4 linked regions of the Struthio camelus genome follow. The protein of the gene in region 4 interacts with the protein of the main gene of each other region in a biochemical or structural test. Links are inferred from orthologs where the notes say so. Each region holds a gene or a part of one and is shown on either strand. Other genes may lie near its edges. The genes, in order: HSPB1, GAB2, FOXO1 and AKT1.

What was found.
Region 1: the proteins of AKT1 (region 4) and HSPB1 form a complex in vitro, tested with the Homo sapiens proteins (3 studies listed by BioGRID, with this or other methods). The link is inferred for Struthio camelus from reciprocal best matches to the Homo sapiens genes AKT1 and HSPB1.
Region 2: of the proteins of AKT1 (region 4) and GAB2, one has a biochemical effect on the other in vitro, tested with the Homo sapiens proteins (2 studies listed by BioGRID). The link is inferred for Struthio camelus from reciprocal best matches to the Homo sapiens genes AKT1 and GAB2.
Region 3: of the proteins of AKT1 (region 4) and FOXO1, one has a biochemical effect on the other in vitro, tested with the Homo sapiens proteins (4 studies listed by BioGRID). The link is inferred for Struthio camelus from reciprocal best matches to the Homo sapiens genes AKT1 and FOXO1.

The regions. Positions count from the first base shown.
Region 1 is NC_090957.1:14,555,479-14,562,388, reverse strand, and holds HSPB1 (heat shock protein beta-1), read left to right. Parts: upstream 1-4,387; 5' UTR 4,388-4,777; coding exon 4,778-5,138; intron 5,139-5,793; coding exon 5,794-5,857; intron 5,858-6,075; coding exon 6,076-6,244; 3' UTR 6,245-6,410; downstream 6,411-6,910. UniProt on the Homo sapiens protein: Small heat shock protein which functions as a molecular chaperone probably maintaining denatured proteins in a folding-competent state. Plays a role in stress resistance and actin organization.
Region 2 is NC_090942.1:220,164,871-220,172,250, reverse strand, and holds the start of GAB2 (GRB2-associated-binding protein 2), read right to left. Parts: upstream 3,007-7,380; 5' UTR 2,847-3,006; coding exon 2,775-2,846; intron 1-2,774. UniProt on the Homo sapiens protein: Adapter protein which acts downstream of several membrane receptors including cytokine, antigen, hormone, cell matrix and growth factor receptors to regulate multiple signaling pathways.
Region 3 is NC_090942.1:194,159,198-194,166,776, forward strand, and holds the start of FOXO1 (forkhead box protein O1), read left to right. Parts: upstream 1-4,565; 5' UTR 4,566-4,639; coding exon 4,640-5,227; intron 5,228-7,579. UniProt on the Homo sapiens protein: Transcription factor that is the main target of insulin signaling and regulates metabolic homeostasis in response to oxidative stress.
Region 4 is NC_090946.1:73,935,902-73,943,548, reverse strand, and holds the start of AKT1 (RAC-alpha serine/threonine-protein kinase), read left to right. Parts: upstream 1-4,632; 5' UTR 4,633-4,895; intron 4,896-5,025; exon of another isoform or gene 5,026-5,121; intron 5,122-5,317; exon of another isoform or gene 5,318-5,615; intron 5,616-6,614; exon of another isoform or gene 6,615-6,689; intron 6,690-7,647. UniProt on the Homo sapiens protein: AKT1 is one of 3 closely related serine/threonine-protein kinases (AKT1, AKT2 and AKT3) called the AKT kinase, and which regulate many processes including metabolism, proliferation, cell survival, growth and angiogenesis.

The sequences.
Region 1 (6,910 bases), on a different chromosome or scaffold from region 4:
CTGGCCCAGATCTGGTCTCGATGCCACTTCTATCTCACAGCCGGGGCTCCTGACCCACCTTCCAGTTGTGTGGCTTGTTCCTCGGGTGCGGTTTCCCCCCCCCAATTCACAGTACAGCCCTCTCCCCAGGAAGTACAGCCCTCACTGAAGGCTTCGACTCCCTTTCTGGATGATGCTGCCACTGGTTGCCCTTCGTTGGCATATGTGGGGTAGCTGCAATTCAGGGTGGTGAAGGACACAGGTGAGCAGGACACAGCAGTGCAGAGCAGGCAGGATCTGCCCCAGCCACTATGGCCACTTTTGGCTCCCGGTCCCGTTGCCTCCCCTCTCTCAGCCTAGGCCAGGCAGTTGCTGAAGCTCCTTGAGCAGCAGCAGGACACAGCTTGGATGTCAGCTTAGGTTCCAAAAAGAGAGGGAGGAGGGTCCCGTGAGTATGGGACTTTGCTGAGAAGCGGCAGAGCTGGGATGCTAGCTGGTAGCCCTGGTTTTGCAGAGCTTTCCTTCTGTTGATTTTCCAAAAAGCTCTTCTCAGCTGCCCAGGAGCTGAGGACGGCAGGAGGGCTTGCTCCTGCATGACAGCACCCTGGGGCTGTTTGCATTTAATCTGCATGGGCCACGCATTTTCTGCCTCACTGGAGAAAGACGATACAGATGAGCCTCCTTTGGTGGAGAGAGCAGCTGCCCGGATTAACCCATTGCCCCCAGATTGAAAGCTGGGCTTTGTCAATCTCTCTTGACATTAGTTTCCAGCCTGCCTGGCTGGCTCGAGGGGATTGGTAGGACCAGGTCATCCTTTTTGAATCCTGCTCAGCCTATAATGCAAAGGCTTTGTTAGTCCATGGCTACTGCATGATGAATTGAAGGTCTCAGGAGGCAGGAATATGAGTTAAGCCAGGATTGCATCTGGGGCCGGCCGCTGCTGTGCAGGGCGGGGGTGGTCACGGTTTGCCCAGCCAGCAGAGTCCCTTGTACTCCCCTTTCCAAAACTGCCACTGGAGAAACGGAGCCAAATTGAGAAACAGAGGAGTCAGGCTGGGAGGATAGAGAGGGGCCTGCATTTGGGGTTGGGTGATGGAGGTGCTCCAGGGCACCTGGGGCCAAGCAGGGTGGGATGAAAGGGGGAGGGTCTGGGCACAGCTGTTTGGTACGGAGACAAGAGCCTCAGGTTCATCTTCCAAGCCCAGCACAGGCTGCTTTGAGAAACTGGCTCCTTCTAGGCAGGCAGTGACTAATGTTTGTGCTGAGGCCAGGACAATTCACCAGACCTTGGAGAACTATCTCCAAGGCTTGGATCATCTCCTGAGCCAAGCTCCGTGGTTTCACAGCCTGTCTCTCCATGCAGCCAGTCCTGCTGCACTTGCTCAGCTAGCAGACCCTCTTCCCCCGCTGGAGGTGGCTGCTGTCTGCAGCAAAATTTGCTTCCTGGCAAATGTTCCTTTGTGCGAGGACGTGACAAAGCCTCACAGATACCTCCCAGAGGTGCTGAAGGTTGGGCAGGGACCAGGGAGAGACGGGGCCTCATTGCGATTCCAGGCTGGTGCGCCTGATCTGGAAAGGAGCTGAACCAATTGCCCAGAAAAGAAAAGCAATTAGAAATGGATTTAACAGGTAAGAAGGAGAAACGATTGTGTTTCTCAATTGCTTGGCTTGTTCCAGCATATTAACCTGAAAGCCCCGGGCAGGGCAGCACCCCGGCAGCGTGCTGGGGCACACGGTCCGGCCGGGCGCAGGTGGCAGGAGTGCCGTGGCATAACCCCTCGCTTCCCTGCGCAGGGCTCCCTGGCTGGGACGGGGCGTTCCCGGGGCGCTGGCGACCGTGGCGGCTGCGGACCAGCTTGCCCCAGCTGTCTGTGGGCCTGGCCTGCCCGATGTCCCGAGATGCCCCGTTGCAAAGCTGGAGAAGGGGGTGCAGTGGGCCTGGGCGATGCAGAGACAAGGGTGAGCCGCAAGGGCTCGTAGGGATGATGTTTCTGCAAGCCACAGCGTGGCAGCCCCGGGCAGCACAGCACGGTCGGGCCGTGCCTTGCCCTCCCCGGTCCCTGTGGGTTTCCTGCGCGGTGCCCTGCTGGCACCGTGGCTCGTCTCCTCCTTGCAGCCCCCCCAGCCCCGCCAGCATCTCCTGGACAGGTTGCGGGGGCGTTTTGCACCCGCTCGCCCGCTGCGCTGGAGCAGGGGCAGCCTCAGCTGTGGGCTCCTGCTGCCGCCTTGCACCGGTCTCAGACTGCCTGTGGGAGCCCCAAAATGCCTGATCGAGACAAAAAAAAAAAAATCAGAGTTTGAACCACTGGAGAGGGTTTATTTTGTGGCATTTTTACACCAGCCTGAGGAGGGCCGTTGCCAGCCCCCGACAAGGCGCCTAGGTTGGACACACACTGTGCCAGCAACCCCGTGCGCCCCAAAACGCTGCAATTTTGGCCTCTTCTCCCTCTTCACCCCCCTCCTGAGCAGAGGCAGCGGCCGGGGAGCGGGGTGGGGGGCTCTGCCGCCTGCACGCCCCCCCAACCCCAGCGCCTGTCCCCGGCGGTGGTGTCCCCGAGCCCCCCCGCCAGCCCGAGTCCTGCTCTGCGACAGCAACCCGGCTGCAGCGCCAGCACCGACAAAGACAGCACATCAGGGAAAATTTCCAGTCTTCCTCTTTTACAGTCCCTGTCTCCTGCCCGCGGAGGGAGCTAACTGGAACAAATACTCCGCAGGAATACTTCAGTGTTTTCCTCGCGCGCGCGCGCTCTCTCTTGGGTTTTTTTTTTTTTTTTTTTTCCGGATTGTGAGTACAGCTGTAGATTCGGTGAGCTGGTTCAGTTATAATAAAACATACAGTATATATTGTAAATGACTCTGCCGGGCCCGGAGCAGGTTGTTGTCAGCGAGGCCGCGGCGCGGGGGCTGGCACGGCGTTAACCCCGCTGTCTCGCCGCAGCCCTTCCCGGGCTCCGGCGCTCTGTCCTCTGCCTCCCTGCTCGGCCTCCGCGTCCCCCCCCACCCCGCCGCCCCGTCGCGCTCCCTCCTCGCCTCCCTCCCATCCGCGCGGCCCCTCCGGCGCCTACCGCCTCCCCCCGTCCCCACGGGGCTCCCTGCCAGCTCCCCGGCAGGATGCGGCCCTCCGCATCCAGCTCTACCCGATTCGGCTGCTTTTATCCATTCCCCCCCCCCACCAATTCTGCGTGGTTTCCATGGCAACACGCCGGCTCTCCCAGCAGCTCCCCTTCCCCAAACAAAAGGGTTTGCCAGCGGCTGCAGCATGTGGAGGTGGGTGCTGGCACCCCACTGCGGTGGTCATGGGGGGACCCCCCCCTCCTTCCCCTTCCCCAAAATCTGCACCCCTGCCAGGGCATCCCCCCCTCTCCGGTCATCACCACGGCCCCATCAGTGCCCTGCGTCCTGCTGGGAGGGGATCTCTGTGTTCGTGCATCCCTGCAGTGAGTGCATCAGGTCTCAGCTACACCCCTTCCCCTGGTGTCGGCCGGGGACAGGCCGCTGGGCGAGAGCCTCCTTCCCGCCGCCCTGGCCTCACCCCTCGTCGGGCCCCGGGACCTGGTTTTCTGGGGCTGCCATGAACTGATTCATAGGCAGAATATGGGTCAAAATATGGGACGAAGAGGCGAAATTTTAGCGCTGGGCCTCAAAAGCAAAGGGCTGAGGCTGCAGCGAGCTGGGAGGGGAGTTGGGGGTGGGGGGAGGAATGAAAAGGTGGCCTGAGGTTGAAGTCCAAGCTCAGCCCTGGGGAGGCACCTCCCCGGCGGGGGGCTGCCGGGGGGGGGGGGGCCTGGAAGGTCCCGCTGGATTTGGGAAGGGGATGGGGGGGGGGGGGTCTCGGCATCGCTCTCCAGGCGGCAGGCAGGCCTCCCTGGCTGGAGGGTGAACGTGAGGGCAAAGGGCTCCGGGAGGGAGCCGTCCTCCCCTTGTCCCGGAGCGGCCACCACCCCCCTCAGCCCCCATCGCTCTCCATCAGCCCCACTGGCCGCAAGTGCCCCCGTTGGGCCTTCCGAGCCCCCGGCAGCCCCCGTTAGTCTCCTTTGGCCCCCGTCAAGCCCCATCGGCCCTCATGGCGCCTCATCTACCTGCACTGACCCCTCACTGGGCCCCATCAGCCCCACCAACCCCTTCTGGCGCCCATCAGCCTCCACCGGCCCCGGTTAACCCCCATCAGCCCCACCAGCCCCTACTGGCCCCATGAGCTGTCACCAGCCCCTGTCACCCCCCCCGTCAACCGCCGGCAGCCCCCGGCAGCCCCTCCTGGGGCCGGGACTGTCCCCCCCCCGGCCGCCTCGGACAGAGCCGGCTGGCTTTAGGGGCGCCGTGCCGCGGCCGGGAGGGCAGCAGCACGGCTGCCGGCCGGGCCGCCGCCGGCCTCCGACGCTCCAGAAGCTTCTGGCAGCGGCAGCGCCGGGGGGGAGGGGGGGGCGGCTGCTGGCTGAGGCCCCGGCGCGCCGCGCTGCCTCCCGCCGCCCTGCCAGGTTTTTTTAACGGGAGAGGCCGGGAGCAGCGGCCTGCCGGGGCGCGGGGAGGCCGCGGGGTGCCGGGGCACTGGCGGCTGTGCGCGGCCGCTCCGGCCTGGGAAAGTTGGCAGCGCCGGCTTCCTCCTCCTCCTCCTCCTCCTCCCCCCCCGCCTCCTCGGCCCTCCTCCGGCCGCTTCTCGGCCCTTCCCGGCCCCTGCTGCAATTTCCATTAATAGCCAGCTGAGATGCCTGGCTAAAAATAACCGCCCGCCCTCTTCATAAGGCCCCCGGCGCCGCCCCGGCAGGAGCCGCAGCCCCGGCAGCCCTCCGCACCGTGCAACATGGCCGAGCGCCGCGTGCCCTTCACCTTCCTGCGCAGCCCCAGCTGGGACCCCTTCCGGGACTGGTACCACGGCAGCCGCCTCTTCGACCAGTCCTTCGGGATGCCCCACATCCCCGAGGACTGGTACAAGTGGCCGAGCGGCAGCGCCTGGCCGGGCTACTACCGGCTGCTGCCCAGCGAGAGCCCGCTGGTGCCCGCGGCGGGCTCGGCCTACGGCCGGGCGCTCACCCGGCAGCTCAGCAGCGGCATCTCCGAGATCCGCCACACCGCCGACAGCTGGAAGGTCACCCTGGACGTCAACCACTTCGCCCCCGAAGAGCTGGTGGTCAAGACCAAGGACAACATCGTGGAGATCACCGGTGAGTCCTCGCCGCGCGGCAGCGGCCGGTTTCGCTGGCCGAGCGAGCGGAGGGAAGCGGCGGGGCGACGGTGTGGGCAGCTGGGGGCTGGCGGCCGTGGCCGGCCCCGTGCGTTTACCCCCCACCCCGCAGCGCCGGCGGGGTCCGGGCTGCGGTCCCCCAGCCGGTGGGATTTGGGCGCCCCGCTCGAGGCCTTGGGGCCAGCTGGGGTGCAGAGCTGGGCTGCCACCCCTGCAGCCGGGTTTGGTCCCCGCTGCCAGGAGCAGCTCGCGGCCCTGGGATTCGGGGACGTCCCCGTGGAGGCCCAGTCCCCCGTGCTGGGGATGCAGGAAGGGGAGGGCAGCCCAGGAAACCCCCCGCTGCCATTGCACAGCGCCGCTCCGGCCTGCTGTCAAGGCAGAGAAACCCACTGCCTGTCGCCTTGTGCCCGTCCCTGGCTCGGTGGGGAGCAAAGGTGAATCCCCCGTGCCGTCCCCCCCGCAGCACCCGTCCCACTCCTGCCTGGCCAGGGGGGGCCACCTGGCCCCCCGCCTCCCCGAGGCACCGCACCAGGGTGCTGCCCTGGGCATGGTGGACCCTTGAATGCAGAGGCCTTTCCCGCCGCGGTGCCCCGCCAGCAGGCTTCACCCTGTCCTGGCTTTTCTTTTTCTTCCAGGGAAACACGAGGAGAAGCAGGATGAACACGGCTTCATCTCCCGCTGCTTCACCCGAAAATACACGTAAGTGCCAGAGTGAGACAGGACCCTGGCAGCCCCTGACCCCTTTGGGCACCTCTCCCATCCACCAGGTCCTGCCCCATCCCCTCTGGTGCCTCCTCTGGGCGAGCTGGGGTTGTTGCTAGCCCAAACGGGGAGGACCGTAGCCAAAAAAAATTGGGGCTGTGAAAAGCCCCGGGGCCGGGGCCTCACGGTGCTGACCCCCGCTCTCCTGCCCGCAGCCTCCCGCCCGGCGTCGACGCCACGGCCGTGCGCTCCTCCCTCTCCCCGGACGGCATGCTCACTGTGGAAGCGCCCCTGCCCAAGCCGGCCATCCAGTCCGCTGAAATCACCATCCCCGTCACCGTCGAGAGCCAAGGCAAGAAAGCAGAGGAGCCAGCCAAGAAGTAGCCGGAACCGAGGAGAAGGAGGGAGAGAAGCCGCTGCCTGCGCCGCTGCCCTGCACAAAATAGCTCCTCACGCCACCCCCCGCTTTCATCCCCCTTTTTACTCTGTATTTTGTACTCACCCCATCACTGCGTGTCTCAAATAAAGGAGAAGAAAAAAGTAGAATCAATCGGAATAAACAGCCATGAAATAAAGCCGCCTGGTGCCCTGCGTCCCGTGGGCAGCAGGCCTGGTGGGCTGGGACCCGTGCCGCGGGGGCACCGGGCTGGGACCCGTGCCGTGGGCGCCTGGGCTCCCCTCCGGCACGGCTGACTGAGCTGGTGGTGCTGGCCATGACGGGGCACGTGTGGGTGTTGCCGGGGTCCAGCACAGCTTTTGGATGGGGCACAGACCCTGCCTGCACTCACGCCTTCCCCATCCTCTGATATCCCGGGTCTCCAATATCCCAGGTCTCCAATATCCCACATAGCCAATATCCCATGTCTCCATTATCCTGGGTCTCCAAGATCCTTGGTCTCAACATCCCAGGAAGTCTCTGACATCCTGGGCCCCTGATATCCCAGGTCTCAGTATCCAACATCTCCATTATCTTAGGTCTCCAAGATCCTTGGTCTCAACATCCCAGGTCCCCAATATCCCAGGTCTCTGACATCCTGGGCCCCTGATATC
Region 2 (7,380 bases), on a different chromosome or scaffold from region 4:
GCAGGTTTTATAGGAGTGGGGACTCCTGGCCACATCTGAATGCTCTGGACCCCTACTGAAGGGGGCAATTTGATTAAAGCTCTAACACCCTTAATACAGAATCACAGAATCACAGAACGGTTGAGGTTGGAAGGGACCTCTGGAGTCCAACCTCCCTGTTCAAGCAGGGTCACCTAGAGCACACGGCCCAGGATCACGTCCAGGCTGGTTTTGAATATCTCCAGAGAAGGAGACTCCACTACCTCGCTGGGCAACCTGTGCCAGTGCTCTGTCACCCTCACAGGAAACAAGTTTTTCCTCAGGTTCAGATGGAACTTCCTGTGGTTCAGTTTGTGCCCGTTGCCTCTTGTCCTGTCGCTGGGCACCACGGAGAAGAGTCTGGCCCCATCTTCTCGACACCTCCCCTCTTCAGATACTTGTACACATTAATGAGCTTGCCTCTCAGTCTTCTCTTCTCCAGGCTAAGCAGACCCAGTTCTCTCAGCCTTTCTTCAGAGGAGAGATGCTCCAGTCCCCTCACCATCTTTGTAGCCCTGTGCTGGACTCTCTCCAGCAGTGCCATGTCTCTCTTGGACTGGGGAGCCCAGAATTGGACACAGTACACATTGGACACATACATGGCATGGCCATATAATATCACCATCTCTATACTAAAAAGTGATAGGGCACCACCAAACGAGACACAGTACAAATGAAGGGCACAGTTTTCCAGCCACTGCAGACTTTCCACGTGACACAGCACACTTCACTAGAACTTTTCTCTATTTAACTGGAACTAGGAAGTAAAGAAGGGGGGGGGGGGGAAAGCTGCCAAGCTGCCTATCTAAGAATAAATGACTTCAAAAAGATGATAGAGGCAAAATTCAGCAACTTGGGCCCATGGTCATACAGGAAGCCAGTGCAACCAGCATGACTTGGAGGGAAGTCCCACTGACCACAACTCCGGGACCGGAGTATAGAGAAAACCCCTTGAGTTACATATGTCCATTGCTGCTTCCTGACCCACTAACATTGCATAGGACGACCGGGTACATTTGGGAATGGCTGAGTTTCCTCTTGGGGGAATAATGATGTTTTCAAAACATAGGTGGCTTGCAAAGCACTTTGGGATGCATCTGCATGAAAAGCACTCTTATGCACATCAATAATTAGCACTAACCACTAGCATGTCACACCCTCATGTATAGCATTTAGCAGATTTATTCAGCTCTTGCTGGAATGCCAGAGCACAAGCTAGATATTCAGAAGGCGATGTGAGCGCCCTTTCATTGAATAGATGTTGGAGAGCTAATGATGTTTGATGAGTTAAGGCCACTGGTGACTCAGTATCAGCAATTAGTTGATTTCTGCGGGAGGAAGGTGCTTTGCTCCATTAAGCTAAAAGCATCCTCCGCTGTTCAGCATGCACAAAGTCAGTCTGTCCATCTTGCAGAGAGCTGCTTACATACATCAGGCTTTGTCTCAGTACATTTAGGGGGCAGGGAGGGAAGGAACTGGATTTTCCCTCAACTCCATCACACATTCCATCTGCAGCCTGGAACCAACCCAACCCTCCCGCAAAAGGGACCAGGCACAGCAACGAGTGGATGGCCAAGAGCAACCAAGCATGGTCCAAAGTGAGGAAATGTAGCGCCGCTGAAGTCTACGGTGCTGCACTCATTTGGGACTAATGCTCAATCATGAACCAGTTACCTCCCTATGGAACGGGTCTACTCATACCCACCACCCTCTCTGGGGTATGCAGCGGTGCGTCAATCAATAACACGTCTATGGCACAGGGGAGACCCCAGCGACGCTTGTCCTGCCTGCGCTTCCCAAGACGCACAGGGGCAAAAGCAACAGGAAGGAAGGACAACTTTGGTGGTGCCTCTCAGGAAGGAAGGGTATCCCAGGAAGCAAGAGCATCCCGCTCGCGCTGGATGCTGCGGTGCCAAGGAGCCGAAACCCGGCAGAGTTGAGTCACCGGAGCCAGCGCGCAGCACTCAGGGACTTCATCTGCCGAGTCACAGGACGGCAGCTTTACATAGTCGCGTTCCTGAGCTCTGGGGCTTGTGGCGCACTGGGAGAGCGTCAGGCGGCGGGCGCAAAGAACAGTTATTTCTTTCAAGGAGTCGGGAATGTGACAGGGCTGGCATTTGGACCCTTCTTTACAACTTCCTTGAACTGTTTGATCTCAGCCGCTAACGACACACACACACACACATAAAAAAAGGCTACCAAAGTGCTACTGGTGCAATCTTCAAAGAGTTTGAACATCAGATGATTAACAGCAACCGCAAGCGGGGAGGGGGGGAAGCAGCCGTTACGGGGTGCGGAGCGGTGGGGGGGGGGGGGGAAGAGATCCGCGTTATTTTTATTATCCCGTAAAAAGCAATCTCCAAAGGCGCCCAGCGCAGGTGGGGGGGGGGGGGGGGGAATCCAGCCACGGCGGGTAGCGAGCGCCGGGCGCCAAGCGCAAAACCACGCGAAGAGCCGAGCCGCCGCCGTGGGCAGCCGCGGCCGGGCCGTGTTGACCCGCGTGGCGCCCGCAGCGGGCGCGCACCCAGCGCCGTCCGCGCTGCGCAGCGGTGCGCAGCGGTGCGGAGCCGGCGGCCGGGGCCGCCCCCCGCGGAGCGGCGCGCCCGGGGCTGCGGCGGCAGGTGCAGCCGGCGGCGCGCGTGTGTCCCCTCGGGCCGCTGCCCGCGCGTGTGTCCCCTCGGGCCGCTGCCCGCGCGTGTGTCCCCTCGGCCCGCTGCCCGCGCCTCCCACCCCCCCCCCCCCGTAAACCCACTTACATATCTCCGCAACTTCTTCTCCGGCGGGGACTTGCGGAGCCAACCCGCGCACACCACCTCGCCGCCGCTCATGGCGCAGAGGAGCGGAGCGGCGAGCGCGGGGCGCTCAGCGCCGCCGGCAGCGCTCGCCCATCACCGTGGCAGCCGCGGCCGCCGCCTCCTCCCTCCTGCTGCCGCTCCTGCTGCCGCCGCCCGGCTCTGCCGGCAGCCTCCTCCCCCCGCCGCCTTCCCAGCCCCGGCCAGCCGCTGCGAGCGGGGAAAGCAGGAAACTGCCTCTTTTTTTTCCCCGGCACACCACGCCTCCCTCCCTGCCAGGCGAGCCTGCTTTTATTAAAGATACAAAACCCCGCACACGGCACTGGGAAGGGGCGGGCGGGCGGGCGGGGGGGTGGAGGGGGCGCTCCCGCGGCGGCAGCCCCGGGCCCCCGGCGGCAGCTGGGTGGTCGCCGGGCTGGCCGAGGGCTCCTCCTTCCCCCGGAGGTGTTGCCGCTCATTTCGGCCCGCACTGGCGCACAGGGTGTGCGTATGTAGCTGCATGCATCTCTATAGGAACTTTAGCGTAGAGCAGGTGACCTCCTGGAGCAGAGCAGATCCTGTCTGAGCCGGGATCTTGCATTGCAAAGCCCCCCACCAAGCTAGTTAAAAATAAATAATAAGAAAAAAAAAAAAAACACCCCAACACCCCACAGGATAAGGATATGGGGATTAATCACTAGATTCCCCCCCGCTCTTCCCCCAGACGCTTCCCCTCTCTTTATGGATTTTGTCCTTCTCACCCCAGGGAGGAGAGGGCGGCTTACACCCTGCAGTGGTTAAGGGTTTTGTGGGAGATGTGAAGGAGCCGGAGGAAAACAAAGAGGTGGAGGCAAAACACGGTCAAATGCCATGCTCTAGCAAAAAAAAAAAAAAAAAATCCTCCTGGAAAAAAAAAAAGGAAAAAAAAAAGGAGAGGAATCAATAAAAGCTTCATATTTTATTATTGATTTTTAAATAATGGAGCAGCACCCACTGAAAGGGGATTTGACTGCCACTGGAGTCTCATGCAGACAAGCTGGGTTTCGTATTACAGTGTATTATACCCTAGCTGAGATTTAGCCATCCTCTTCCAGATCTAGAAACGCTGTGCGCTTCAAGGTCTGATCCTCTCCCCATCCGAGGCACCAGCAAAACGTCCCTTCGCAGCCCTGAGAGGAGGATCATGCTCTAAACCTTCTTTTTGCCTTTCCTTAGAAGCGAAAATCTGGAAACAGCGCTGATAGAAGTTTGCTAGCGCCGAGCGCTCTCAGCTCTCAACGCCTTCACGCTATCCACGTACCGGGAAAACACAACGCCGGGCTGCTTGCCGGAGATGCATTTCCCCAGCCTGCCTCTATATGACAGCTCTGCCCCAAACCTGCTTGGGCACATTAAATCGTCCCTCCCTGCCTCAGTTTCCCTTCGTGGCGTTTTGTCAACTTGTCCAACCCACGTGGGCAGGGACAGTCTCTCGCTTTGTACTGTATCTGGTGCAATAGCACCTAGACGCCGGCTCACACGCCAACACTGTTCGAGCAGGGATCTTGCATCACTTTACAGGCAGTAATTACAGCTTGCAGTGCCTCGGAGGGGTAGGGATGACACCTCTTCTCAAGATGGGGACAACACAGTTAAGCCAGGTGTTGTTTACCATCTTCGTGAACACTGAAAGGAGGGGACTAACCCCTTAAAGAACAAGTATATCATTTTTTTCAACCATATTTTTTTCAAAATGCTCGTCCTTTTCCCATGGGTGAAATGCAAAGTCTGTAAAGAAGCTTTTCCACCTTTTCACCGCCCACATCGAGGGCTCGGTCCTATTTAAGCGTGGGGCAATCTTTCCATAGAGGCCAACTCTTGTCAGATCAGCATCTCCGAAAATACGCTCCGTCTGACGGGACTGGGAACCGGAGAAGACAGAGAGGCCGCTTCTCGGCCGACACAAATCAGAACTGCTGTATTCAGTGGACTGGAGCGGTATCAATTTACGCTGCCCGAGAGGCTCACCTGTAAATCTATGACGGGTTACAAAGGCGCTTTGCACGTTCACAGGGAGAATCGCTTCCCAGCGACCGACCTTCTCAGCCCGAGAGGTCTTCCCAACAGCCAGGGCAATTCCAGGAAAGTCAGCAGCTTACCCTGGGCTTAGGACGACATAATCGAGCATGGACTATCGGCTCTCATTATGAATACACTGGTACCGTACAAACCCCTTCCAAAGCATATGTTAATGAGTCACAGGTTAGGAATTCCCTCATGCTGACACTGATGCAAAGTGGTATCAGTCTTCAAACCGGTCACAAAGAACCCCGGCCGCATTTCTATGCTAACAGCTCTCAGCACGCAGCATCGAAAACACTTTGTTTGGGCGATAGGCGTTTCAATGAAATGTTCCGTAATTCTCATGGTTTGCACGGAATTGAAGGGGAACGAGTAGTCACACGTTTGGCGACAGCCTTGGACTGCGTTCTCCTGCTCCCTTGCTCCTTTTGCTCTGCTCATCCCCTACTTTGGGTCGAATTTATTGACCTTTTTCTATCACGAGATATATCCGAACAGCGTTCGAAAGATGAATTCCCCCCACGGATTTTGCCCTAACGTCTTGGCCATGCACGTACCCCAGGCTGCCGTGACTTTCAGAAGGGAAAGGAAATAGGCTGCATTTTACGTGCTCTGAAACACACTGCCATCGCAAACATAAAATGTAAGCTCTATGCGGGGGGGGGGGGGGGGGGGGGGGGGGAAGGCCGAAACGACGACACTGCATGTGAATGCGGCTGCCTGATGCTGCCACGGCTGCGCGCGGAGTGAGAACAGCAAGTTCATTCTGGCATCGCGCTGCCGCATCACATTTTATACCATGCACGTCATGTTACAACGCTTCTTACTGCTGGTGCCACTTAAAGCATCTGGCCACACAAATATTACTCCAAACGCTTCTAGGACTTAAAAGACAAAGACACAGCTCTAATTTGGCAGCGCTCGCACGCCCGTGACAGTTTTCCCAACTTCAAGCTGCTCTTGCACCCGACGGCAGAGCCTGAACTAAGGCTGGCCCCAGCTGACGGCGTGAATCTCCCGAGTCGTGAGCTAACAGCCAACAGCCCCGGCTGAAAACTGCAAAAACCACCTCCTTGTGCTGCAAAAAAACACGCCGAGGGGGTTGTGCGAAGCAACTGAGACTCCTTCTCTGCCAGTGGGACCAGCAAAAAAGGGGCAAAGGCAGAATTAGGAGGCAGACTGAGGGAGAAATTAAGAGAGATCGTATATAAAATCATATTCCTCACACGAGGCTAGGGCAGTTCCAAGAAAAAGCCCCCGGCGCCGTGCTTTAAGCACGCCGAGGTGCCAGAAAAGGAATGACACTTTCTGCTGCAGAAACCTCTGTTTTTTTAATCACAGTCTTCAGCGTACTTCCTTGTTCTTGGCCGTAAGGGAACCGAAATGTATGTCTGAAAAATCACAACTTCTAAGAAACAAACCACAACGCCCGCCGCTGCTCTTTGCCTGCTCCAAATTTGTTTAAATGAGCTGTGCCATCTACTGGCAGCAGGGGAAGAAAGCGTGATTTCTCCCCTCCACACACCAGATTTTTAGTGTGTAAGCAGTAAGGACAGAGACGCAGGGCATTTCCTGGGGATTAAGCACCAGCTGGGTGAAATGCTTTGGGCTACTTACCCCAGCCAGGCACTGATCTCTTGGAAATGCCCTATGCTGAGGTTAATATAAACCTAAACATACTGGAGGGGGACAGGCTTTAAAAACGAGCTGTGCTGCTTGGCGATACGTGCCTGCTTCTCATCCGGAGCGAATGTGCGGTCTCTTGAGATCCAGCTCCCCAACAATACGACCTGGCTTTATCTTCACCAAACAGCTCCTGCAGCAGAGCTGGAGGCAAACAGCTTCCTTTATTTCACAAAAAAACGTTCAAGGTTAGAAATTCATCTCTTCCAAGGAGAACTTGAATCTTGCCACCCTCCGTAAAAGAGCACGGCGAGCCCCCCAGAACAGCCCGTAATCGAAGCCAAACCACAAGACCGTCCTTCCTCAGTGCAGCTCCAGCAGCACTGGCTGCTTTCCATGAGTTGGGACAATCGTAGCGCAGGATGCTCTGAGATGACTAGACCATTTGAAGCATCGTTGCTACCGTGTTCTGGCAAAGACAGAGGCATCAAAGCTCTGACGCCTCAACAGAGGCTCAAAAAAGGGAGAAAGGAAGAGATGAGGCAGGGGTCATCAGTGTCCAAGCTGCACATGCACTCTTGGACTTATCAGTCCAGTTGCTAGTAGTGAAGAATAGGTGTTGCTCTTCCAAGACGGTGATGTGAAAACAATGGATCAAACCCGCTTCATCCCCTTTCTGTTGGGGATTACGGTGAAATCCTGCACATCACCACGGAGGCAATGCGCTGGGCAGCACTGGGAGGATGTCTGGGTTGCTGAGCTGGACCTTTCTGCGGATGCAGCTAGGCCAGGCTCCAGCCTGTGGAGCTCTTCCATTCCTTACACTTGAAGATAATTAAATGGATTTTCCTATAGACGAACCACACTCCAAGCTAAAGCCCAGTCGTGTTTCCCTCGCTACATTGGC
Region 3 (7,579 bases), on a different chromosome or scaffold from region 4:
TACAACAGCTGCTGCAAGAGCGGCGGCCCCGCTCCCCGCGGCAGGCGGTGAGTAGGTGACGGAGGCGGCGTTTGGCTGCTCGGGCAGCGCTCGCCGCGTTAGCAGTTGTTCCCCAGCTCCTCCGAGAAAACGGGGGGTGGGGGGAGGCTGCCGGGGAGCTCGCCGTGGGCTGGGTTTGGCAGGCAGGCGGCCAGCTCCGCCGCGCCACGGTGGGATGCTTCTCGTCGCCAAAAAAAATTGCCGGTGTGAGAGGCAGCCGGCGTGCCAGGCACTTGGGAAACGTTGGTGGCCCCGGTTCCAGCCGTATGGATGTAAATCCGAGAGGGTCTGGCTGCCTCCGCTGGGAGCGTCCAGGCTTTTCGTCTGTACGTAGCAGGACACGGAGCTGGGACGAGGTACCTTCAAATCCGAAACCGATCCCTAAAAGCTACTTGGTGAAATGAATGTTTTTAACCCCGTGGACCGGGACTTGACAGACCTGGATTCAAAGTCTATCGCTGCACCTGCTTCCTCTGCACTTTACATAAATTCGTGGTGGTCCGAGCCCCCCCGTGCAGAGTAGGACTAATAATGCCTCCTTTCTCTTGCCTCCTACCTGTCGTGCCCTGTTAGCCTGCTCTGGCGCACGGCCTCTTTCTTACTGGCGAGTTCAGGAGGGTTGCAGCCCTTCTGGGACTTATCAGGACGAGCATAAAATAGATAATAAGAAGTGACAGAAAAATTTGCATCACGCAAGGCTGAATGCCACTTGCTTTGCTCACACAAGTCGCCCTTTGAAGTCAGCACTCTCCTACCCGTCGCTTCTGGCTTACGTTGAGCGGCCAGACAGCTGGAAGGTGAGGGAGGCGAATGGTTAGGTTTAGGCTGGATTTGGGCAGATCCTGAAGGCACAGGGCCTAAAGTGGGGGCATCAACACTACAACTGTGGTGAGGGATCAGCACATCCTTAAACTCCCTCTGTGGTTAACGGGGAAAAGATGCAAGCTCCCAGCAGGTAATTCACAGCACAGAAATTAAGCTCCTGCTCCGAAACATGCTGCAGAGGAGTCTGCATTTCTTGTAAGCAGCTTCTGGTGGGTATGGAGGGCTTCAGGCTCTTAAAATTCCCTTAAATTAGGCAGCGTGCCCACACGGGACACACGTAAACCCTGCTGTGGTGGGAGGCCTTTGGCCAAGCTGCTGGACTGCAAACCAAAGTTACTCCCTTTGGAGAGACTTTGGAGGAAAATGGAGGTGCCAAACTGCCTTGTCCTTCCTCAGAGAATGAGCTTTCTCCCAGCACAGCAGCTCTTGCGATACCAAACATAAGCTGGTATTTCATCATTGCTTTTTGCTCTGTTAAAATGTTTCTACTGTCTTGCTATATATATACATGTTGAAAAAAGAGCTGTACATAGAATACGAGTGCTTTCAACTTCATGTAGTCCCTGGCTGAATTTGATCAAAACCTCAGGAAGTGAATTATGCATACTGGAGTAAAAAGACAGTAGAGACCCTCTATTTTGGCTGCCTCAAACCCAGAATATGGATAGCAGGCTATGCTTTATCCCAGTGATGATAAAAGGCAATCTTTAATTTGAAAAAAATACAAGACGACGCTATGGATGATAGGAGAAATTGCATTGTAGAGGAGTGGAAAATGGGAGCAGGAGTAGGAGTAGAGAAATGAAAAGGTGGAGTGTAGGAGGAGGACCGTGGGAGTAGAAAATGAATTGTGGTGCATCCATCAGCATTTCGGCATTGTGGGAGATGAGATAAACTTAACGCTGTCATTTGTAGATGTGGTAAAAAACTCTTGTACTGAGCCATTGCTGTATGCAGGGAGCCGCTTGAGGAGGAGGAGGAGGAAGGCCCACCTTCGGCAGCAACCGAACGGGAGGCTTCGCTCTCGGCGTCGCGTCCCTGAGAGCGGGCAGCGGCACTGGGAGGTGCTGGGAGAGCAGTGGGGTGCAACATGCAGCTTGAGCCTCCCTCACGTTATTTATGGCGTGTGTGTGTTGGACCTTGTTGCTTTGACTCTGGAAGCGGTTGACGTGAAAGGCTCTGCTCCCAAATGCCTTGGCACGGAGAAGCATTCCCATTCGGAAAGCAGAGGGTCTCACGCGCAGGGACGGGGGCGTTACGGAGGGACTCGTTCACCCAGGCAGTTTCGCAGGAGTCAGATCAGACTGCGTTACTCATCCGAGGAAAGCGCAGAGCACTGTCTCACAGGCCTTCATCCTTCCACAGCCCTTTACAGGCCTTGGCCAGAGATTATAGCGTGCAATCGTCAAAATCCCCAGCAACGTTAGCAGTGCAGAAGCTAGCTCTGTATGTTGTATCGTGAGTCATATGGCCTGACTTGTTAAGAAAATGCGGTGTTTTGAACCTTCCGATTTTATGTTTCCTTGCTACCTACCTTGAGATCCCTAACCCCTCGCTACAAAGTGTTTTCTAACTGAACTTACTGGTAAGATTTGAACTGCAAGGAAGGATGTCAGTGAGATGTGGCACAATCGTGACAAAGCCTCTCCAAGAAGGGGAGGTAAGCAACAGCAACGAAATATAGGGCTAAAAAAGGGGGAAATACACTTGTCCTGCAAAAGGAACCAGGCTGAACACACCAGGACTTGGGAAAATCCCGTAGCAGCAATCTTCTTCCAGGTTTTCACGGTTTGTATCTGACAACTAAAAACTATTTTTCCAACATCTAGGCATGTCAATGGAGGCCAGAGAATAACACCTATATTTTTGATTAAAAAAAAAAAAAAGAAAAAAAGCAATGAGTGCAGGATTTAAAAAAAAATCCTTAAAAGAAAGCCTGGGTAATAAATCCATTTCCTTTAGCAGGATGGGTGCCAGTCCAGCTCTTAGCCTTCTTTTCAGACACCAATGGCAGGCAAGGAAAAGAAAATGTTGCAGTGTTCTCAGGCACTTCTTTTGTTTTGGCTCCCTTTTAAACGTGTCCGTTCGCCTTACGTCGCTGGCTGCTTCTCACACGTACCACCTCTCCTTCCATTATATAATGTGTGCTTCTCCAAGTCAGGGTGCTCTCCCTTATTGCAGGGCAACTACTGTAGCGCAGTTGTATAACACTGCCGGATAAATCTGTTCCAAGCTGAAACGTGGCATGCAAGTTATTAGGTTGAACTGGGACTAGTTTCCTTTTTTTTTTTTCTTTAACTGAAAAAAATCCCCTCTGGTTGTTTTAAAAACCGTAGGCTAAACAACATAGATTTGTGGGTTGAATCCTTTACAGGATTTGGATAACATAGAGATGACATAAAGGCAAAGCAGCTCTGAAATTTTACAAGCGGGTGTAATCACCTTCGGCATTTTGGAAAGCAAACGTGACGAAAGCTTTAGAATTTGATCAGTTACTATGCACTCTTGCATATGTGCGCCAACTATATATATAGTTAGGTGTCCTCGTGTGACTTAAAAAGTGTTTTTGTAATAGACAGCGCGTGTACGTAGATGTGTGATCTGCCACTAAATTATATGCTGTGGGCCTAAATTCAGTCTCATACTCTACGTCCTTCATTATCGCTGCTCATTCTCAGAAAACATTTTTACGGGAAAAATTTGAATAACATTACTGCTCTCTGTCCGGATTCAGAGACAAGGGAAAAGTAACATGTTCACTGGCTCACGGTGGCAACTACCCGCTCTAGCAGGTCCTTTGACACGTAATGTCAAACGTCGTGGACAACGGCGGATTTTGTGCCTTACTAACCCCTGCTTAAGTATGTTGTTAAAAGTACTGCTGCTATTTAAAAGAGGACAGGACTTCTAAAAAGCGGGGCTGAACAAGGCGCTGAAAAGCAATCGTGCCTCATCCCAGATCAAGCAAATGTCTTCTTTCTAATTTTGGACAGAACGTAACTTCTTGTTGCGTTGCCTTGAACACCTCTTTGCCCGTTTGCAGCCCTGGGAGGCAGAGGTGGCACGTCCCGGAACCGCTGCCTCTTTGGCAGGGGGGAATAAAAGCCTTCCTAAATTAAGCCATTCGTAAATGTCTTAGGCTTTGCTGGGGCAAGTGATGCAAAGCGTGTCTAAGGGCGGCTTTAAACCGTCATTATCTCGAGGTCACGTACGAGCCCACGGTAGAAAACAGCGGCGGACGGCGCGGAAACACGCCCGGGAGGCGGTTTGTCCGGCAAGCGGGCGCCGCTCGGCCCGGGGGCAGCTGCGGGGGCACCTCCGGCCGCTCCGCGCCCGCGCAGCCCCTTCCGGGCGGCCGCCCGGCCAAAGGGGGAAAAAAAACCCAAAATCAAAAAAAAAAAAAAAAACACAACCCCACGCCGAAGCAGCCCGGGGGCACCGGCACCCTCCGCCGAAGCGGCCCCGCGGCGGGAGGCGGGCGGGCGGCTCGGCGCTGCCATTGGCCGTCCGCCGAGGAGGAGGAGGAGGAGGAAGGCTGGAGGCGGGCCCGCGCGGGGCGGTCGCTGCAGACGGTGCGCGCCGGGCGGCCGGGTGGCTGCAGCCGCCGCGGAGGGCAGGGAGCCGGGCAGGGCAGGGCAGCGGGGCCGGAGCCGGAGGGCAGTTGGCGGCCGCGCCGCCGGAGCCTGCATGGGGCGGCGGCGCTGAGGCTTCCCCCGCCGCTGCCCGCCGGGTCCCGGTGCTGGGTGCCGGTCCCGGTGCCGGTGCCGGCCCCGCCATGGCCGAGGCGCCGCAGCTGGTGGACATCGACCCCGACTTCGAGCCGCTGCCGCGGCCCCGCTCCTGCACCTGGCCCCTGCCGCGGCCGGAGTTCAACGCGCCCAGCTCGGCCACGTCCAGCCCGGCGCCGTCGTGCGGCGGACAACCCGAAGGGGCGGCGGGGGCCGCCGCCGGGGCCGCCTCGGCGGCGCTCGGCGCCGACTTCATCAGCAACCTCAGCCTGCTGGAGGAGAGCGAGGACTTCGCGCCGCTGCCGCCCGCCGCCGGGGCCGACTGCCGCTGCGGGGACTTCCCGGCGCCCGAGGCCGGCTGCCGCCTGCACCCGCCGGGGCCGCCGCCGGGGCCGCCGCCGGTGCCGCCGCCCGTGGCCGGGCTGTCGCCGGGCCCCGTGGCCGGGCAGCCCCGCAAGAGCAGCTCGTCGCGCCGCAACGCTTGGGGCAACCTGTCCTACGCGGACCTCATCACCAAGGCCATCGAGAGCTCCCCGGAGAAGCGGCTCACCCTCTCGCAGATCTACGAGTGGATGGTCAAGAGCGTGCCCTACTTCAAGGATAAGGGCGACAGCAACAGCTCGGCCGGCTGGAAGGTGAGTGGCGGCGGGGAGGCGCCTGGGGGGGGGGGGGGGCTGGTCCTGCTTTGCCGGGGGAGCTCTCCTGACGTCCCCCCGGCCCGGCCCGGCTCGGCGGGCGGTAAGGTGCCGCCAGGCGCGCTGCGCTCGGCGCTGCGCACGCTGCCGCGGGCGGCCCTGCGCCGGCCCGGCCAGAGGCGGCGCGGAGCCGCGGTGTTGCAAAAGGCTGGGAACTCTGCCCTGTGCTCCCGTCCCGTCCCGTCCCGTCCCGTCCGCCGGCCGCTTGCTGCCCTGCACGGAGTTTGCTGCGCTCCGACTGCACGCTTCGGGCTCGCTCTCTCTCTCTCTCTCTCAATCTTTTTTTAAAAAAAAAAAAAAAAAAAAGCGTTTCAGCCCTCCCCCAGCGGGGCTCGGCGAGGGCAGGAGGCGCGTCTCGCCTCCCCCCCACCCCCGCCGGCAGAGGGTGGGGGGGGGGTGGGGGCAGCGCGCCGGGGCTCGCCGCTCCCCGCCTTCCCCTCCGCCCTGCCTCGCCGAAAGCAAAAGTTCAGGCCGTGTCACCGCGCCGTGCCCGGGCCAGGCCGGCCGCAGCGCCGCCACCTCCGGCCCCCCCGCCCGGCCCGGCCCGGCTGCGGCGCGGCCCCTGGCAGCGGCTGGGGCTGAGCCGTGGCGGAGCCGCGCGGCGCCGGGGCTGCCCGTCCCCGACGGCGGTGCCGTGTGTGTGCCCGTGCCGCGTCCCGGCGCCGCGGGGTTTGCCGTCTGGCCGCAGGGGGGAGGGAAGGAGGGGGCAGAAACCACCAGCGATGGGGAAAGAGCAGAGGCAGGACAAGGGTTGCAGAAATACCACGCGTTTAATAAGTAAGCTGCCGTATCTGCCCTGCTGGTTTTGTTAAGCTTGGCTTACGGGGGTTTCCTTCCCAATAATGGCACAGGCTTCGCTCCTGCGGCGCCGTCCCTAGACGTAGCAGCTCGGGAGTAACCCGCTGGCAGCAGGGTTTTCCGCCCTACCCTGCGCAGAGCGGGGCCGAGCGGCGAGTTCAGCCTGCCCCATCCCCGAGGCCCGTGGGCACTCGCTGCGCAGGTGGCTCCCGGCGTCACCCTCGGTGCCCGCGGCCCAGCCCACGCTCTCCGTCACGGTGGTGGCTGGCAGCGCGCAGCGGGACGGTGCTGCGGCGGCCCCTCGTCCGCGTGGGTGGCGAACGGGCAGCTTTGCTGCTGCCAACGCATCGCCCTCCCAGGCCTCTGTCAAGAACACCTTGCCCACCGGGACCTGATTTTAGGACGGAGCTAGAGCAAAGGGTGTCGTGGCACTGTTGCGTTAGACCGTGGCTGGAGTAGGCTTTAGCTGTCTGCGTGAAGGCAGAACCTTCCGCTCCCTTATGGTAATAAATGCGTTAAGTGCTCACACGTAGCCCGGTATCGGCGCGTTGTGCTGCTGTGTTCGTGATTTCGTTCCAGTTAGGGCAAGGCGCGGTCCGCGGTGGTGCGGAGCAGTCTGCTTCTGAGTTACGCTACGCCACGCTTCGCTCGCTAGTGTCTGCAGTACTCGTGTTTTAAAAATAATATCAACTCAAACAGTGTACTTTTATACATATACTTTTGACTGCATGGCTAAGAATGTGCGTTAGCTCAGATTTTTGTAGATTTTATTATTTTATTATTTTTTATTTTTATTTTTTACAGGTAGGCAGCATCCCTTTAAGGAAAAGTAGTGTTATCTTAAATTAATTTTTAGCTGAAGGCTTTAAAAATAATTTATTAATTACTATCTATGTGTCTGACAGAAAAATCAAAAAGTTAACTGTCTGAAGACATCTTTCTTGAGAAAGTTTAACAAAAGTAAAATGACTGATACCTGACAACTTTTGAATAAGGTAGCTTGTCACTTGAAAATGCTGTTTTTTTCCAGTGGTATTTCAGTCTTCTGGAAGAAAGTCAAGATATGCCAATTGCCTTTTCAGAATGAGTAGGGGAGAGTAAGTAAATCAAGGCAGAAATAAAATCAAAACTCCCAAATCCAAGCAAACAAATAAGTTACACTGCTAACAGAGTTTCTCATTAGGAGCTTCTTATTTTATTACTTCTTCTTCCTGTGTTGCTTCAACACAGAATAAGTCTCGCACACCTTCTTCTGGCAAACTAAGCACTTCCGATGCCTGCAAACCTATCTTACCACCAGGAAAGCCGTTCCTGTTAACTTGCTGGATGTGGAGCATTTCCCCTTGTCCCTCCCTTCCGCTGCAGTGGGTATCCTGCGACTTTTAGCCCGTGATGTGCACATCCTGTTTTAACATAATTAAATATTAGGAAGCTGTATGTAAATAGCATCCTGGTGCGGTGGGCGCATGTCGCCGTAATTCCTTCCAGCCCCCG
Region 4 (7,647 bases):
TAAAAGCAGCGTGGACTTAACTGGTTCTGGCCACAGGGCAGAACAGCCACAAACCCACATGTAGTCACAGCCGACAGAAACAGTGTAGATGTGACCAAAGACTAGTAAAAGCACTCCAAAAAGTTCTGTGACACCAGAAAGTCAGGCTGAAGAGCAGATATCAATGATTCCCCTGAAGGCAAGTGGTAGCACGAGCTCAAACCCGGTTAGACACCGGAGAAGCACATGAGATGCCCAAACTGCAGAGAAAGCTTTGAACAGCATTTGTGCTCATTAGACACCCACAAATGCAACCAACGCAACACAGTTGCATAGGGAATTGTATTATCAGGGTTCTTTCACAGGACAACTTGTATTATAAATAAAGCAGAAACTATACTCTGCTGTCGCTCCCCAAGCTGTTGGTTTTTGGCAGGTTTCTGACTGGCATGACTGCAGAACTGAGGCTGCAGCTGAGCACTGAAGTAAAGAAAACACTGAAGATATGAATTTGACTTTCCTCTCCCTTCCCCTTTGCCTGCTTTTATTCGGTTCATGGTAGTGTCATCTCTTTTACATATGAGGTGTGAATACAGATGATGACATGACTAAATGCAATTTTATGGCTGCAGTATCCAGGGGGTCAGACCAGAATGATATTGGAACGGTCACTTCTGGCTTTAAAAGTTTCCAAACTATAAAATTTTGATGAGGTGATTCAAATGCTAGCAGATTTTTGTGTGCATGCAGATGCCATTAAAAATGCACTGAAGAAATTAAAAGCAATCCCTTCTCTGCTAGCATTCATGCACAAATAATAAAAAAATCTGTCAGTGCAGTGGTTAAATGTCATGTGTAGATATATTTTAAAGGATTTAGGAAGCCTCTGTCATCATAATACCGGAAATCTTAACAGCTAGATTAAGGCTCTTGATCTCAAGGAAATTGTAAAGATCATGAGAAAGACTGCGTTTTTCTGTACTGGCTTCCACCTGGAGCTCAGTTCATCTAGACTGCAGCGCTCCGAAAGATCTACTGCTGTGCCTATGCCTGGCAGCAGAGCTGCTGCTCCTTCCACTTTTCCATAGGGAGATTTGCAAGGGCAGTCACTAATACTGCACTCAAGTTCATTTGCCCACCTTGTGCTTAACCATATAATTTTAGATCAATATAGCATAATGAGCATTGGGTGTGTGAGTTGAGAATGCAAGAGACCTGATTTTGTTTTTAATGGGTATAGAACATGTGTATACAACTTCATTATTTCAGTGTCAGAGGATTTTCCTTTTCGAATATAGTTAAGATTGTGATGTTTCTTTAAGCAGGTTATTGCAGTTTCAGCATTTTCAGGTATCTTCCCAGAACTAAGAACTCACGAAATGTTGTTTTACAAACAAGGAGGGGAAAAAATCAGCAATTTGGAGTAGACTTTGCTTCCTTAAGATCAAAGACTGTTTCTTCTGCTGTGTCTGTGCAGTGCCTAACATTTCCTGGTCCAAAATGGGACTTGTGGTTACTACTGTAACAACAAAAACAGCCGTGGTTGGCGTATGCGACAGAACTGATATATTTGCTATTTTTGTACATTCTATATCTAACTAGTGCATTTTCTGTGCAAACCAATTCAGTTCCTGTTTATTTACTGAATTCCCCCTAGCGTGTTTGCTGCCCTGTGGCTATCATTATTCCAGAGGAAGAGAACTGCATGGTTCTCGCTTTGGAGTTTGTCAGCACCATTCATTACGGAGCCAGAAAAGCTCTTGGAAGGACTGTGAAGTATGCCCTCTTCCTCCTTTTCCAGCTGGAGAAGGCACACTGCCACCCCAGCGCTGCCCAGCCTGAGCATGCTGGCAGCTGGGAAACAGAAGCTCCTGTAGGTCTCCTGTCTGACCTCTGGGAGGGTCTGTAATAAACCCTGAAGAAGAGCTCCCAAAAGATGTTTTAGCAAACAGGGACAACTCAGATCTCTGGTCTTCCAGTTATCAATTTAGCTAACACTTGAATAGTCTTTCATCGAATTCAGCACAGAAGTACAAACTAAATCATACATGTATTTATTCACAGTATAACTTTCTAAAAAGCAGAATGACAATGTTTCAGTATGATTACATTTATTCTTTTTTTTTCCAGATAGCCTACCTTTGTTTTGCTCTTGAGAAAACGTCTTCAATCATTGGATTTTTTTTCAATTTTAGAAGTGCAGCTATGTTTATTATATTTGGCAGCATGAAATGAATGCACTTTTAAAAAAGTTTGTATTTTTATTAAACTAGACTTTCATCTTAGACCAAACATGAGCTGTTTCTTTAAAAGTTACAAATGCCTAGACTGAGACACTAGTGCCACAACTCTAATAGGACTTCGCATAGCTTTTTTTTTTTTTGAGCCCTGTTTGAGTAGAGCCCACCTTTCAAAAAGGGAGGAATAAATTCACTGTTAGCACCAAAAGGCACTGTCAGCACTTGCAGTCATGGAGCACAACTTGTTCTACTGGGGTGAACTCAGTAATTCCACTCCATCTTACCATACTAGTCTTTCCTTTTATGCCTGACTGAATAAAAACGTTTTTTATCCAAAGCTGCATAATTTCAGTGTTTTAAAATAAAGTCTTAAAAGTTAGATCAGATTATTTGTTACTTCCATATTTGTTAAAAATGGGTGAGAACATGAGTGTCTGTTCTTCCGGTACAGTATTGATATATTGTCTGGCAATCGACCATTCTTTGCCTCCAACCCCTACGTTCAGTATTTTATGGTAACATAATACCAAGGAACAGTTGATGCACCTTATCCCATATCAGTTACTAAATTAGAGTAAACAGATGTGAAATTTGAGGAAGCGCTTAGGGAAATCTAGGGACTTCCCTGAAAATTAGGGTTTATAGACTATAATCCCATTGATGATAACTGAATGACAAAACCCCCATTGTTTGCATTTATAACAATTCTTGAGTGATTTCATTGTTCTCAGAGGAAAAAAAGGCCTGCTTTTGTTCATTGTTGTTACAAAGTCACCCTTGCTGTTGCAGACCAGGCACTTCCTACTTTACCTGGGTATTTTTATCCACATGACTTTTCTGTGTTTCGGAGATAAGCCTTATTCCAAACCCCAAATCTAAGTGTTGTCCCCCCCCTCCCCTCCCCTCCTGCCCACCATTTGGGGAATGTCAGATCTGGATCCAAACTTTCTAGTTTGGGCCTGTCGTTCATCATTGTAAATCAACAGTTTGCAAATCTAAACAATGTGCTCGTGTTGATTTTGGGTTTTTTTACTGTATTTCCTTTTTAGCAAACAATGGAGGTTTATTTTCTTCTCTTTGGGACTGAAAACTATGCTTGCTGTATGACCTTATTTTTTAAACTGCTGCTTCATTTGCAGGGGAAGTCCTAATGACCTTGCTCACGATGACAACCCGGGAGCTTATCAATCAGAACAAGGTTTGGCAGAGAGGCAAGAAAGCTCTCCTGCAATCAGATCTATTACCAGAGATCCCTCTGCCTATACAGAAGTTTCCTACAGCCAGTGAAGTCCTCTGCTTACACATGCTCTTTATTGCTCGGTGTAATCACAGGCTCAAGAGTCAAAATTAGTTTCTAAATGAATTTTCTTCTTTATTTTTGGTTAGTTTCTACACATGTCCCCTCAATATGCTGCAAGCCTCTCACACTGATGACTAATTTCCTTCGAAAGATATCTTTACTACCTAAATGCATTTTAATCTATGCTAAATATTCTGGACTTAATGTACAGTATGTAGAAATGGGACGACAGTCCCAGAGAGTCTGTTGCAGGTTTCTCTTTTCCTTTTTTTTTGCCCTTGTACATCAGCATGGGAACAGTTCTCCTGCCCGTTTCATTCTCCTCTTGTATAAACCGAAATTTTTCCACTGCATCACTAGGTGAGGATCTAACCCTAAACTAGGTACTCCTGTAACACAGGGTACGCTTCTTCTCCTAACTTGGCTGGTAGTATATTTTTAAACCCGCTTAAAGGCCCCAGTACTCCTAAAGGAGAGCCATAGAAATACAATACCGGCTTAGCACTTCCACGGGGAGGAACTGGCCTGCCCAGTGATGGAAAAGGAGGTCTCGTTCTCCCTCCCTCCATCCTGAGCGAATGTGAACCCTTTCCTCCTCGTTCCCATTCCTGCCTCCTCCAGAGCACTGATGTACACAAAACCCAATGATCCGTTTGACACCTGGGCACCCAAGAGGCAGTCAGAATTATTTAGACAGACCTAGATGCTCAGAATGGAAGAGGAAAGTATATAAGCCGTGAATTTTGGTAAACGTGTACAGTCATTCAAAGGACATGGTAGAAATGCCTCTTACTACCCAACAAAATAGATTTGTTACCAGCGTGAATGCAAGGTCATATTCCCCGGCTTTACTGCTGTAAATGCACTTCATGCACCGTGAGTCTATTAACACTGCAAAGCTATGGGAAGGTTTTCCAACTTCTAACCAGCTTCCGGTTACAGAAACGTGACCATCCGCCGCTGTCGGCTTCCGAACAGACCAAATCACTTCTTGCAGCCCGGTCAGAGCTGCCGGCACTGTCAATGAGAAAACAAACAAAATCCTTAAATTAGCAAAGAGGGCAAAACTAGCTACTGGGAGCGCCGAGAAACACCAACTCCGTCAAAGGCACTTCCACAACACGGTTGTCCAGAGCGCAGCGGCCCTCAAACCCTGAGGAAGCGGGGCGAGGCGGCGGGCGGCCGCGCTCCGCGCCTCACGGCCTCCCCGCTCCGGACAGGGCCGCCGAGGTGTTCTCACAGGCACCGTCGCGCCCAAGTATTTAAGCAGCCGGTCGCGGGGAGGTGTGAGGGAGGTCCGTGGCCGTGGGGCTCTGCCTGCCTCGACGGCTTTGGGGCGGCTCGCTCCCGCCGAAGGCGCCCAACGGCTTCCTCAGGTACTTCCGAGCGGTGCGGCGCGGCCTGCGCCCTGCCGCCGGGCGGGACGGCGGTTCCGCGGGAGCCGGGCGACGCGGTCCTCCCCCGCCTCCCGCCGCCGAGGGGGGCCGCGGCGGGGCTGCGCGGGGCGGGCGGCGCTGACAGGGCCCGGCGGGCGCTGCCTGCCCTCCCCGCTGCCGGAGGGGCGGCGGCGAGCGGCGCTAGGACCCGGCGGCGGCGGAGGATGTGAGCGAGCGCGGCGGCGGCGGCGCGTGTGGGGCGAGCGCGGCGGCGGCGGGAGCGCGGCCCCGTGGCGTGGCGGGGGGAGGCGGCGGCGGCGGCGCGGGCATCCGCCGCCTCGGCGGCTGCCGGCAGGGGGGCGGCTCGATCGCGCGGCGGGCAGGCGGGCAGCCTCCGCCTCCCGGCCGGAGGCAGGGCGGCAGCGGCGGGAGCGAGGCGGAGCGGAGCGGCGGGCGGGCGAAGGCAGGCCGGCAGCCGGAGCGGGTGTGGGAGCCCCATGGGCCGAGCGCCCGCCAGAGGGGGAGGAGGAGCCGCCCCACCGCCAGCCGCCCGGCGACGGTGAGGAGGAGGCGGCGGCGGCTGCCGTGAGCCCGGTTAGGCCTTAGCTCGGGAGCGTCCGCCTCGCACCCCCCCCCTCCACCTCCCTTCCTCCCGCCCTCTTCCCTTCCCCGGCAGCCGCCACCCTCTCCCATCACCTCCTCTCCCCGGGCTCCAGGCACGTAAGTGACCCGGTCCCCGGCTGGCAAGGGCTGCGGGAAGGAAGCGCCGGGGCCTGCTCCGCCGCGCCGCGCCGTGCGGGGCCGGGAGGGCAGCGCGGGGCCCGGGCGGCGGCCGCCGGTTCGCCCGCTGACCCGCCTAGGCCGCGGCCGGCGGGGGTGGTGGTGGTGGTAGTGGGGGGGGGCTCCCCCGCCGCGCCCCCCCCCCCCAACGCGGCCGGGCTGCGGCGCCCCCCGGGCCGAGGAGGAAGGTGGGGTGGGGGGGAGAGGCGGGCTGCGGCCGGCCCCCGGCGGGCGTCCTGCCGGGCGAGCGGGCTCGGGGCGAGCAGGAAGCTGTTGGCTTCCCCGGGATGCGGTAAATGGAAAGTGCTGCGGGCGGGGGGGGGGGGGGGGTGTCCGGCCTCCCGGCCCCCGCGGGGGGCGCGGGCTGGTGTGAACACCGTGCGGCAAACGAAGTAGCCGAGGCAGCTTTCCCCGTCTTCCCCCCCTTCTTCATCTTCTGCCGCCGCGTTGCGGAGCCCTTTCTGGCTGGCGGAGCAGCGAGGGTTTGCTGCGGGGGGTGTGCTGCTGCGCGGGGGCGTCTGCCGTGCGGAGGCTGCTGCGCAGCGTCGGCGGACTTGGTCTGTGCAGTCGTGCTTCGCAGACCGCTGTCTGTCTGCAGATGCCCCCTTCTCCCCCCCTTTCCTCCCCCCCGGGTGAAATTCTGCAACTGTTGAAATGTTCTTGGGGGGGGGGGGCTTCTAGCACTTTTGCTTCTGTTTCTTTGTAAAAACACGTAGTGTAATCCAGGATGTGAAGATACTGGGACTTCTTTTTTAATATATGTCTTACTGGCAATACGGTATTGATGCTAGTGTGTTTGTACCTTATCAGTATTCCCCTCCCCCCCCCCTTGGGGAAAGTGTTTAACTGTTTTCTTTTTGCTTTGTTTTTCTGCCATCCCTAATATATAATGAGAAGCAAATCCCTGATTTGCCCTTGTTTGTTTTATTTATACCACAGGAGGGATGTACATTTCAAAATACAGTTATAAAGGGGAGTTACTAACACTTAATTCAGAAGAATATTTGTTTACAGGTAAATAAATTTGACGTACTGCATGACTAGTAATTACTTTTATGTAGGAATTAATTTCCTTATGACAGCCACAACATTTGTCTGAGTTAATAGATTTAAAGACACTGTGGAGCTAGCTTTCATTTTTTTTAAATAGGAGGGTTTTCATTGTGTACAGTGTTTATAGAACTGCTTTTTGATGTGCAGCAATGGTAAATCAAATTGACCTAATGTCTGCATGTAACCTGTAGCTCCAGCATTCACTTTCTGGCTTATATAATGCCCTTATTACAGTAAGAATTAAATAGGATCATGACTGACTTCGTTTGTTTGGTGGACAGAGCAAAACTTTTGTTATGAGCACTTTAAAATGGAATTTGATTAAAATGCTTCTTAAATTAGTACAAAAATTCTGTGCAGCACAGTTCTTATGTGAGCGTAAACTGCAGAAGGACTTGTTCTTGTTTGGGAGCATAAAGAGGATTTTGTCTAGCCTGTGTCTCTGACACAGTATGAAGAAGTTGTCTCTTTTCTACCGTCACTCCGTTTTGAAATAAGTAGCTTAGTTTGTCCTATCAAACTTTAGCTGTGGTTGCAGCTTGGACAGCTGAATGTTGTAATCCGGGCCCCTCACCTGAACAAAATTAACCTCCTGTCTATTGATCAGTAGAGACACAAGAGCACAAGGCATTTCAAACTGCTGTTTTGTAAACCGAGGTTACGCCCATAGACTGAAAGAAGGTGGGCCTGGTTTTAGAGATTTGTCTTTTACCCTCAAATTACGGTTTTTCCGATCGCTCTCAGTATTAGGGAAGTGTTTCCATTCCTGGTGATAAGCCGCATGTGCCGTCATGAAATACCTGTTTAGATGTGGTGTTATTCTTAATCGAACATCACATGGGCCAATAGCAGATGTTAGTGGCCTGTCTCAAGGCCCACAATGCATTTTGTAAAGTAAGCGAAGATGCTGGAACAGACT